Caenorhabditis elegans: one gene and its partner. The protein of the gene in region 1 purifies or fractionates together with the protein of each later gene. This does not show direct contact. Each region holds a gene or a part of one and is shown in the gene's direction. Other genes may lie near its edges.

The links.
Region 2: the proteins of ptd-2 (region 1) and nfu-1 fractionate together in Caenorhabditis elegans (co-fractionation; one large-scale study listed by BioGRID). This does not show direct contact.

Annotation. Positions count from the first base shown.
Region 1 is NC_003283.11:9,248,484-9,255,101, forward strand, and holds ptd-2 (SSD domain-containing protein), read left to right. Parts: upstream 1-1,748; 5' UTR 1,749-1,791; coding exon 1,792-1,832; intron 1,833-1,888; coding exon 1,889-2,012; intron 2,013-2,142; coding exon 2,143-2,246; intron 2,247-2,289; coding exon 2,290-2,509; intron 2,510-2,562; coding exon 2,563-2,744; intron 2,745-2,789; coding exon 2,790-2,934; intron 2,935-2,980; coding exon 2,981-3,155; intron 3,156-3,200; coding exon 3,201-3,310; intron 3,311-3,362; coding exon 3,363-3,479; intron 3,480-3,523; coding exon 3,524-3,705; intron 3,706-3,750; coding exon 3,751-4,039; intron 4,040-4,091; coding exon 4,092-4,210; intron 4,211-4,256; coding exon 4,257-4,458; intron 4,459-4,504; coding exon 4,505-4,632; intron 4,633-4,840; coding exon 4,841-5,017; intron 5,018-5,065; coding exon 5,066-5,214; intron 5,215-5,326; coding exon 5,327-5,556; intron 5,557-5,623; coding exon 5,624-5,740; 3' UTR 5,741-5,845; downstream 5,846-6,618. Other genes in the region: str-94 (Seven TM Receptor), read right to left, coding at 1-34, 102-176, 384-502, 550-823; F07C3.9 (T2SSF domain-containing protein), read right to left, coding at 5,855-5,903, 6,032-6,144.
Region 2 is NC_003282.8:10,385,437-10,388,925, forward strand, and holds nfu-1 (NFU1 iron-sulfur cluster scaffold homolog, mitochondrial), read left to right. Parts: upstream 1-1,976; 5' UTR 1,977-1,980; coding exon 1,981-2,032; intron 2,033-2,075; coding exon 2,076-2,138; intron 2,139-2,184; coding exon 2,185-2,263; intron 2,264-2,327; coding exon 2,328-2,817; 3' UTR 2,818-2,915; downstream 2,916-3,489. Other genes in the region: Ankyrin repeat and KH domain-containing protein mask-1, read left to right, coding at 21-539, 591-767, 836-1,164, 1,210-1,306; R10H10.3 (CUB domain-containing protein), read left to right, coding at 3,084-3,161.

The DNA of each region.
Region 1 (6,618 bases):
AGCCCAGAGACATTATTGTAACAAGAGTAGTTATCTGAATGTTTTTAGTTTGAAGTTTTTATTTCAGACATGGTAGCATTTGATTTATTTGATTTACTCACTGCAATGCAATATACATTGGTCATTGCCAAACAACTTTTCCATTGAATTTGAATTTCGCCTTGAGATCCGACAATCTGAAAAACCCTCTTTAAACAAATTCAAATGCTTCAAGTTCTCACAAAATACAATGGACCAATGTAAGAAAGACGTTCAATGTTTTCTTCATAGTTCTCACGAATTGTATCTTTCAAGTAAAAATTGAATGTTGGATTACTACTCAATAAGAAAAATACATTACACCACCAAAATACTGCGAGAATTATGAAAATTAGAGGCCAAACCAGTGCACGTGGATATTTGAACCAACGAATTTCGTTTGGATGGATCATCGCAATATATCGATAGACGAAATGAATGGCAAGCAGGACCAGTGTTAGTCCGTATGAAGTGCAGTAAGTTGCTGAATCCATTTATTTTTAGTATGAATACATATTTAAAAAATCTTACGGATAATTATTGAAGCCAATAGGGGATCATACTTAAACCAACTTGCACAAAATACAATAAAACTATTGAGATATGAATGCATTGCTGGTTGAGTTAGAATATCAATTATGGAGTACCAAAGTGAAAATGCAGCGAACCATAGCATTAAGTACTTGTATGAACCAAAGTTCTGTCGAGTTCTTGTTATGATTAAGTAGATTAATGTAACATTAGTAATAAATGCTACGAAAAAACCTAGGTATTCCGCAGAAACAGTATAAAATGGAATTCGCATCTGAAAGAATCAAAAATTTTTAGTTTTACTGACTACATGTAGTAAACGTGTTCTTATACTTTTTTTTTTAATAATTGGGTAATTGTATAATAATTTTGTAGTGTCAAAAAATTCGTTGCATCAAACTATAAAAAGCCGCATTACCTCGATTTCAAGAAATCAAGCTAGAATGCGACATTTTCACGACTCGTGAATGAATAAAATTTCGCAAACAATTACTGGATTAAAAAAGCGGGTCTACGATACTCATTTCCAAAATTCACATATTTTATATGCTTGTTTTTTCTCGAAAAAGGGCGGAGCTTGAACGTCCACTACCGTAGTCTCAAATGACGTTTATATAAACTTTAGCATAATCTTAAACGAGAAATGCTTTGATGTTCAGATGTTAACAAAGAATGTTCGAATGACAGCAGAAAAATATGAGTTTTGTTTTTAGTGAGTAATTCCTAATACTTTGACGGAGAACAAATAAACATTTTTTGTACACAAGTACGCAAGTTTAATATAAATGCAAAATGGAGGATCATTAATGGCTAAATACCGGGAATAATTTGTGACTAAACATTTACCCGCTTTTTGGAGCTTTTTTCTGAAATTTTGGGCTGCTTTGCAACTGACGCAGGAATACCAATTAAAATCAGTAATTGGGATAAAAGTTGCTAAAAAATATTTAACTTAGATTGTTAATTTTGTCATATCCATCCATAAATGGTTTCTCAGACTCTCATGATTTCCTGTTTAAAATTGTTGAATCATCAATCAAAAATCGAAAATATACGAGAATGAATCTGTATAGAATAAACAGTTGTTTCGTTGTAAATGTGCATGTATATTTGTATTCTGAATTCTTCTCGAATCGTTCAGTGAATGAGAGGCACGTAGTTGAAAGCGCAAACATTCGATTGTCACCCATCACTATCATTCTTGTTCACTCTTGGTCACCTAGTTCTTTTTTTTTTGAAGAAATGTCCACTGTTTCACGGATCACGGAACGAATTTTCATGAAGTTTGTTTTTTTTTCATTTTTCAATTTTAATTTTTAATCTTAAATCTCAAATTCAGATATGCACATGTTGTTATTGACTATCCGATAATATGTATAGTTCTAACTGGTACAATTTCTGTGATTTTAACGTCTTGGGCACTGTCTTTCAATTATCAAGTAATTGATTTCGATCCGACAAAAGTAAGCAAGCTTATTATCTTAACAGAATTTTCTAACCTGAATTCAACATATATTTGTATAACAGAATATTGAAATCATAATTCTTGATTGAGGAATGTTTAAAAAGTGGAACAATAAATCTGTTCTTAAGGGATTTGAAACTCGAGGAAGTCCATTATCATCTGCACGAATGACACTAGAAGCGATGAAACCACATCAAGCTTCAAATGAAAATATTCTTCGGTGGTATTTTGAGTAAGCCCTCCTAATGTTTTAGCACGAAAAAAACTAATTTCAGACAAGATCCTGGGCGTCGAAAGAGATATATCAAGAATGATACAACAACCACGCTTGACCCAATTACCGTTAATTATGATGATTACGGTGTCGATTCTGAACCTAACTCCTCCGATTTGGAAGATCCATGTGAAATGTATGGGGCTATTGGGAAGGCTCTACCTTACGATATGATAGAATATCTAGGAAAAATTATGATACGAGTGTCTAGTTATGATGATGTGAGCTGTTTATTTTGGAAAAACTACATTTTTTCAACAAATAGCATTTGCAGCTCTTCAGTTTGAACGTCATGAAACACCTTTGTCAAATTGATTCCATTGTCGACAACTTAATTATTGAATCTAACTACACAAATCCCATCCAAGCTTTAAAACATTCTTTAAACATCCCATATTACACAACTTGCCCCAATATGACTACTCAAAATTCCTGTGAAGCATTAAATGAAAATGAGTGAGCCTCACAATTTTTGAGATTTGGCTTTCAATAATCTTTCAGCATTTTAAATTTTCGATATTTACTACAAAAATGCAAGATCAATTCAACAGATGAAGTTTGCTCGGCATTTTCCATTAACCAAGTGAACAATTGGCTTTTAACAAAAGGAAATTCTTCAGATTTTATTATTGTTGTTGTGTTGAAAGTGAGAAATAGCATTTGGTTTTTTATTCAAAGTTATGAAAATTCAGGTAACAATGTGGAATGGAGCTGAGAATAGAGACTTCTATGATGATTTAATTGATAAATTGAAGGACCACCTCGAAAGAAATCCACATACACGAATGGCTGGAATAGCATTGAACATGAAAAATAAAGTGTTTCAAGAAAGAATTCAAACCGACAGCTTATTTGCTGCATTTTCAGGTCTGAAGTTTTAGCGTCGATATCAACAAATTCCCAATTTTTCAGCTCTTCTTGTATTTTCATGTTTTTTGATCTACTCAAGAAGTATAATATTCACCTGTATAATTCTGATGGTTGTCACGTTATCATCTGGTGTGGCTTTCTTCATTTATACTGTAATTGAAATTCAAATTTTTATGTTACTTTCGCTTGTAAAAATCAATTTAGGTAGTCCTTGGGATTGATTTCTTTCCATTTATCAATCTTCTGGTTGTTGTGATATTGATATCAATTGGAGCAGATGATGCGTTTCTTCTTTTAGTCTATTACAGGAGAGAAGTTGAGGTAAGTTTCTTCAATTTTTATTTCAATAGGATAATATTTTCTAGAGAATGTCACACTTGGAGTATAAAGTTGGTTCAATTTATATTCCTCTTTACCGAGAATCTGATCTATTGTCTCGTAGTCTGCGTCTATCATTACATCATTCTCTCGTCTCCATGTTTGTAACTTCACTCACAACTGCTTCAACTTTTCTTACAAATCTTTCAAGTCCAGTCATTGTTTTGAGGTTTGTTTAAAATCGATGTATCGCCGGCAAACTTATGATTTTCAGATGTTTTGGAGTATATGCAGCACTTACTGTTACTGTAAACTATATTCTGGTAGTTTTAATTTTACCCGGAGCAATTATTCTCTCACGTCCAATCAGAAAGAAGCTTTCACGCGGAGATGAAGAACCTGAAAAGATTGAAAGTCATTCATATTTTGCTTCTAAGATCACGGAGACCACTCACTATTTCCGCTTTGGAATTTTTATTTGCAGTTTAATTATGACGGGATTGTCTCTTTTCATCATTTTTCAGAATCCGGGATTGAAAACTCCGCAAACAAATCCGACTAAAGTAAGAAATTGTATAATGGAAAAAATGCTGACTAATTTAAAGTATTGTTCAGCTTCTTGTAGACTCAAATATTCACGAGTATTTTGACAACAACGTTCATCATTTCAATTTTCAATGGCAAAGATCGGCGAGATTAGTGAAAAATTTTGTTTTTGGAGTTGATGCTATAAAGTATGAAAATTCAAAATAAGTTTTACATACAAATTTTTGATTTCAGAGAAACTTCAACACTGAGTCCGTATAATAAACCATCGAAAAACTTTTCACAGGCGCACTACAGCCTTGACACAGATAAATTAGACTTCTATAGAAGAATCGTGAACTTGGAATCAAAAAAGTATCAACTCGTTAACTATACTCACGTGTCATGGGCTGATAAAATACTACAAGCTAATGAGTCTTGTTTCTCGGAGAATAAAGTAATAATGCGAGCTCAAAAGTTTAAAATTTAGAAAATAATTTCAGACAATTATCCATGAATGCATTCTATCAGCATCCGTTCGAAATAAGAATTTGATTCATCAATTTCCTGACGATTTTTCGGTAATTCCAGGAGATGGTCCTTTTATTGATCAGGATCTCAAAGTAGTTGGGTGAGAAATTATTTTGATTTTTAAACGAATTTCAAAAATCATGTTAGCTCTCGTACTGAATGCACACAGTAAACATTAATTTTCCAAGTGAATTGAAAAAATATATTGGGGAAAAAAAATTTTTTAAATCTTTTTTGATCCATAACGAGAATTTCGTTCAAACCCAATTTTTAAAAATAATGACCAGAGGTGACTAAAACTATTTCAGATATTTTATATCAATCCCATCAAATCAAAAACTGCAAGTTGATACAGAAATGATTGGGAGTTTTTTCCAAGAAATTGAGGAATCCTGTAAACAAATTAAAAATGCTACATCTGATTCAGTCCTTTGTCTTTCCTCGACAGAGATTACCAGATTTTACGACATAGTCTCCCAACTCAGGTATTTTTTTTAATTTTGATCAAAAAAAATAATTGTGAAAAATTGCAGATCGTCGAGTTTCACTTCAGTTGCAATTTCTTTGGGAATATGTCTCATTGTGATTATTGCTTGCACGCGTGTTATCAAACTCTCAATTATTTCTTCCGTTATTATATTCTTCGTAATACTTTGGACCGTGGCCAGCCTCATTTTGTTAGGTAGGGAACAAGCATGTATATAATTTTGAAAGCACTAATATGTTTTACGACTGATTGCTAGAATGCAAAAGTGTGATTTCAAAAAGTATGTACTCAAAAATATTAGTTTCAGGATGGCAATTGTCTGTAGTTGAGTCAACCATTTTAATAATCACAATTGGGCTCAGTTTTGATTACACTTTGCACTATGTAGTTGCTATTCGTGACACGAAGTGTGTACCAGCATCTGAAAAACTGACTTCTGCTCATTCGACGGCAGGTATTGCATGTGTTTTCGGTTCCCTGACTCTATTTCTTGCTGGATGCCCTCTTCTTTTTTCACAAACAGCGTCGTTTTATCAGGTGTGAATTCTGTGTTCTATTTTGCTATTAAAATATCGTGTTTTATGCTAACATTAAGTATTTTCAGATAGGCACAATGCTCGTTATTCTTGGAATAACATCACTTTTCGGTGCTTCTATAGTTTTGCCTTCATTTTTAATGGTATTTTCTTGTGGAGATCGTTTACAGTCAACAAAACTATAAACAAAGATTATTTATTATGATAGTTGTTATCAAATAGACAACTCATATGACTTGTAATGTGATATTCATTATTAAAATGTACAGAATACATAATTTTCGGTCCTTTTTGGTCTTCTAAACGTTTGCTCTCTTCATGTGATCCACGATGACCGGAATAGCACATCTGAAAAATCAAATTTAAAAAAAAACGCTTATCAGTTCATTTAATTCTTAATTAAAGCTCAATTGTTCAAACAATCAGAAACAAAGTGTATCTGATGATAAGAGAAGAACAGAGCACACTGCACTTACACAAAGATTCCAATGACAAGGGTAACTGCGGAAATGATTGTTGGAATGTGTTCATATTTTTTGATGAGACGATCAGCGTTACGGCCGATGATGTCAGCGTAGTTTCTTGGCATGTTCTGCAAGAATTTGAAGTACTAAATTGAAACAATAAAATAAAAAAAGCAGTGACAATAATTTTTTAAAAAATCGGGAAAATAATGGGGTTTCAAAAACATTTTTGTCTTAAATATTTATAAACACATAAAAATTGTTTAGCTAAAATTGTTCAAAAAATTATTTTTAAAAATCTCATTTTAGTAAGAATAATATCATTTAACTTCTCAATAAAAATAGGTACAAACAGCTGTAGTATTAAATTCAGGAATATTATTAATTTGCAATTGAATGAAGAAGTTTGGCGAAAGGACATATAACAAAAATGTTAACAAAATTTGAACAAAATGCTATACGTTACAGAATGCAAATAGTATGAATTCATATGGATTTGAACTTAAAAATTACGGTTTTTTATTCGATTATAAATGCTAGTTTCTATTATCAATATCCACACGTTCACAAATAAAGTGTGGTCAGTTTGCAATCAAAAA
Region 2 (3,489 bases), on another chromosome or scaffold:
AAATTTTTATCTTATTTCAGAATGAATGGGGACAAAACGAGTTCATATCGCAGCTTCTTATTAACTCATCACTTCCTAATGCTACTTCGAGTCCACAAGGTGCTTCAACCATATCATCAGCACCAGTGCAGCAGCCATCTACGTCTTCTGTTACTACTGGATTATCTTCTTTGGAACTGAAAGGTTGGATGCCAGCCTCATTTGCACCGTCTGCTCGTGATCCGAATAGATCTCAACCACCCCTGTTTGCAAGATCTCAATCGAATTCTGTTGCTAATAGCACTTCCACGAATATTCAACAGCAACAACAACAGCAAATTCAACACCTTCAACAGCAGCAAGCACTACAACAACAACAGCAAAGGATTCAGCAATTCCAGCAACAATACCAACAGCATCAGTCTCAAAGTTCTCAGCAACCAAGTGACTTGATGTCTTCAAAGTTTTCAATGCTACAATCACAACAACAGCAGCAGCAACTTTACAATCAGATGCAGTCGCTAGGTCAAGATGGACAGGGATCCAATCTGTATAACCATGTAGGGATCCGTGATTTATGTCTGAAAATACGTTATTTGATTTATTTGCAGCTTGCCGCCCAATTATTGACTCATCAAGAGAGTTCTACAGGAGCACCTGGTCCAACAAGTAGTCAACTTGCAAATAGCTACTATCCATCACCTTCGTATACGGATGCCAGTGTTTTAGGGCAAATTAGCATGCCGTCATTGTCACAGAGAGGAATAAAGCAATTTGATGGATTTAATGTAAGTTTAGGACAAATTTGATGTTAAGATAGCAGGATCAGTTTAAAAATTAATGAATGGAAATTTAGAATGACTCTGATGGCGTTATTGCTGCTATTCTCGAGCAACAACAACAACAGAAGAAACAAGGACTCGCACAACAATCGTTCATGCATAACTCTCAACAGCCACAGCCGTTCGGAGCTCCCAGCAACGCTTCTGCAAATCAATCGCGACTCGGAATGATCCAACCTCGGCCCCAACCGCCACCATTTGTTGCTCCACAAGCTCCACCTGGATTCTCTTCTCTTGGAAATGCATCTTCCACGACGAACCCATCTCGAACTTCTATGCAGCAAATGTATCAGCAATACGGACAGAGTTCACAGCAACAGCCTTACGGTCAGATGCCTCAAGCGTAAGTTCTACGATTTCTAATTAAATATTTGTTTATTTATTACAGAATGGATTGGAACCGACTTGGACAGCAACAGCAGTCTGCATCTGGCCAACAAAATCATCAGTCATCCTCGTCAAATAAATGGTCTTCCAACTGGTAGATATCGCTCACAAAATCGTCTTCTTGTCAATTAGTCCCCCCTCCCCTCATAATAATTCGGTGTTTACTTGTTTTTTATTCAACCGTGAAACAATATGTCTTCCCGGTTGAATTGCATCCATTTTTCTTTATTTCGTCTCCTCGTTCCGGGTTTTGTAACACTTTTTCTTCATTTTAAATCTAGCCTTTTTTGGTCCATTTTTTCTTTCAACTCTCAAATGTTCGATCTTTCCCATCCCTAGCAAGTGTTTTCTTGCGAGCTCAGCCTTGTGGAAATTGTACTCTTCTGTCCAAATTATTCCCGTTTACCCATTTTTTGTTCTTTTTATATCTCCCCCGACATACTACTTCTTTTTTTTCGGTTATTTTTCAAGTCTTCCAACACAACACATATGTATTTGAGACGGATGTCAAATGGTCCCAACTTTTTCTTCCCTTTATTGAAAAGTGTGTCTTATTTTTCACTTTTGATGTTTTACTCGTTGTTTCATATGAAACCTGGGCATTTATTTCATTGCTAATTAATTATGACTTTCTTCGCTTTATGTTGATCCATGAATCGTGATTCTTGAAAGTATACAGGTTAGGCTATTGAAATGTACAACTCGAGGTTTTGATTCCTATATCTTGAGAATTAAGTCGGTAGATGTTGAAAGAACAAAAATTTTCAGAAAAATGATTTCATCAAAAATGCTCACAAGACTGAACCGGAGCTTTGTACAAGCAGGTGATACTGGTTCCAGAAATTCTTTCATTTTTTAAAATTTCAGCTCGATCAATGTATATTCAAGTTCAGGAGACACCTAATCCACTTTCTTTAAAATTTTTACCTGGTTAGTGGAAACTTCACTGTTTAAAATCTGAAATGTAGTATTTCAGGTCAACAGCTTCTCCCAGACGCCTCGAAAACATACGATTTCAGCTCAGCGGCTACAGCAAAACAAAGTCCACTTGCTATGTAAGGAATATTCCAAATTTTAACTACCATTCAGATAAAATAGTATTTATTTGTAAATTTTCAGAAAACTTCTTCGAGTCGACGGAGTGAAGCGTGTGTTCTTCGGAGAAGATTTTGTAACTGTCACGAAATCAGATGAGACTGTTGACTGGGCTCTCCTCCGTCCGGAAATCTTCTCAACAATTGCTGATCACATTCAAACCGGAAAACCTGTCATAAATGAAGCTGCAACTGTTTCCGACCAAGTGGAAGAAGATGATGAAGTTGTAATGATGATCAAAGAAATTCTAGAGACACGTATCAGACCAATGGTACAAGAAGATGGTGGAGATATCACTTATGTTGGTTTTGACGATGGTGTTGTCAAATTGAAGATGCAAGGTTCATGCACAGGATGTCCAAGCTCTGGAGTCACTTTAAAAAATGGAATTGAGAATATGCTCACATTCTACGTGCCTGAAGTGAAGGAAGTTATCGAAGTTAAGGATGAATCCGATGATCTTGTGGAACAAGAGTTGAAGAAATTTGAGCAATCAAAAGGAATCAAAGACTAATTGATAATTGATTCGTGTATAACTAGATTTGTTTTTATTAGTGTTTGCTGCTAGAGATAAATGTTCAATGAATATTTATAAAAACTTTTTTATTACTTTGAAAGTCGTATTAGTAGAATTGGTTTATGACTCTGAAATCATCGAATCACGTCAAAGTTCAACGGCCCAGTCCAAATCAGTGATATCAGTTAAAAGACTTATCACCCGGAAAAGTGGAAAATTGTGCTTCGTAAATTGATAAGAAATCAGTCAGAGTGCTGCTCAAAATGTTGAAACAAATTCTTCTCGTCGCTATTATTTTAAATTTAGGAGTATCTGCGTATAAGAAGAAAAGCTTGATTCATGTTAGTTTTTTTTTCAAGTTTTTGAATTTTCAATGTTATCCAGACGCGGAATTTTGCTATTTTTGCGGCTGGTTCGGTTTCTGAACGACATCATTTTAATAAATGCGGAAGGTACGCGCCTTTAAAGTGAACTGTATATCCAAACTTTATTTGCTGCGGTCAATTCTTCATAGTTTTTCGAGAAAAATATGTTTTTTTATTTATTAAACAAACTACATTTTGAAATCAAAATACAAAAATCTTCAGAAAAACATGAGACAACAACTTTTGCATTTATCAAAATTTTATCGTGACGAGACCGGGTACTGTCGCTAAAGTTCGCGTCTGA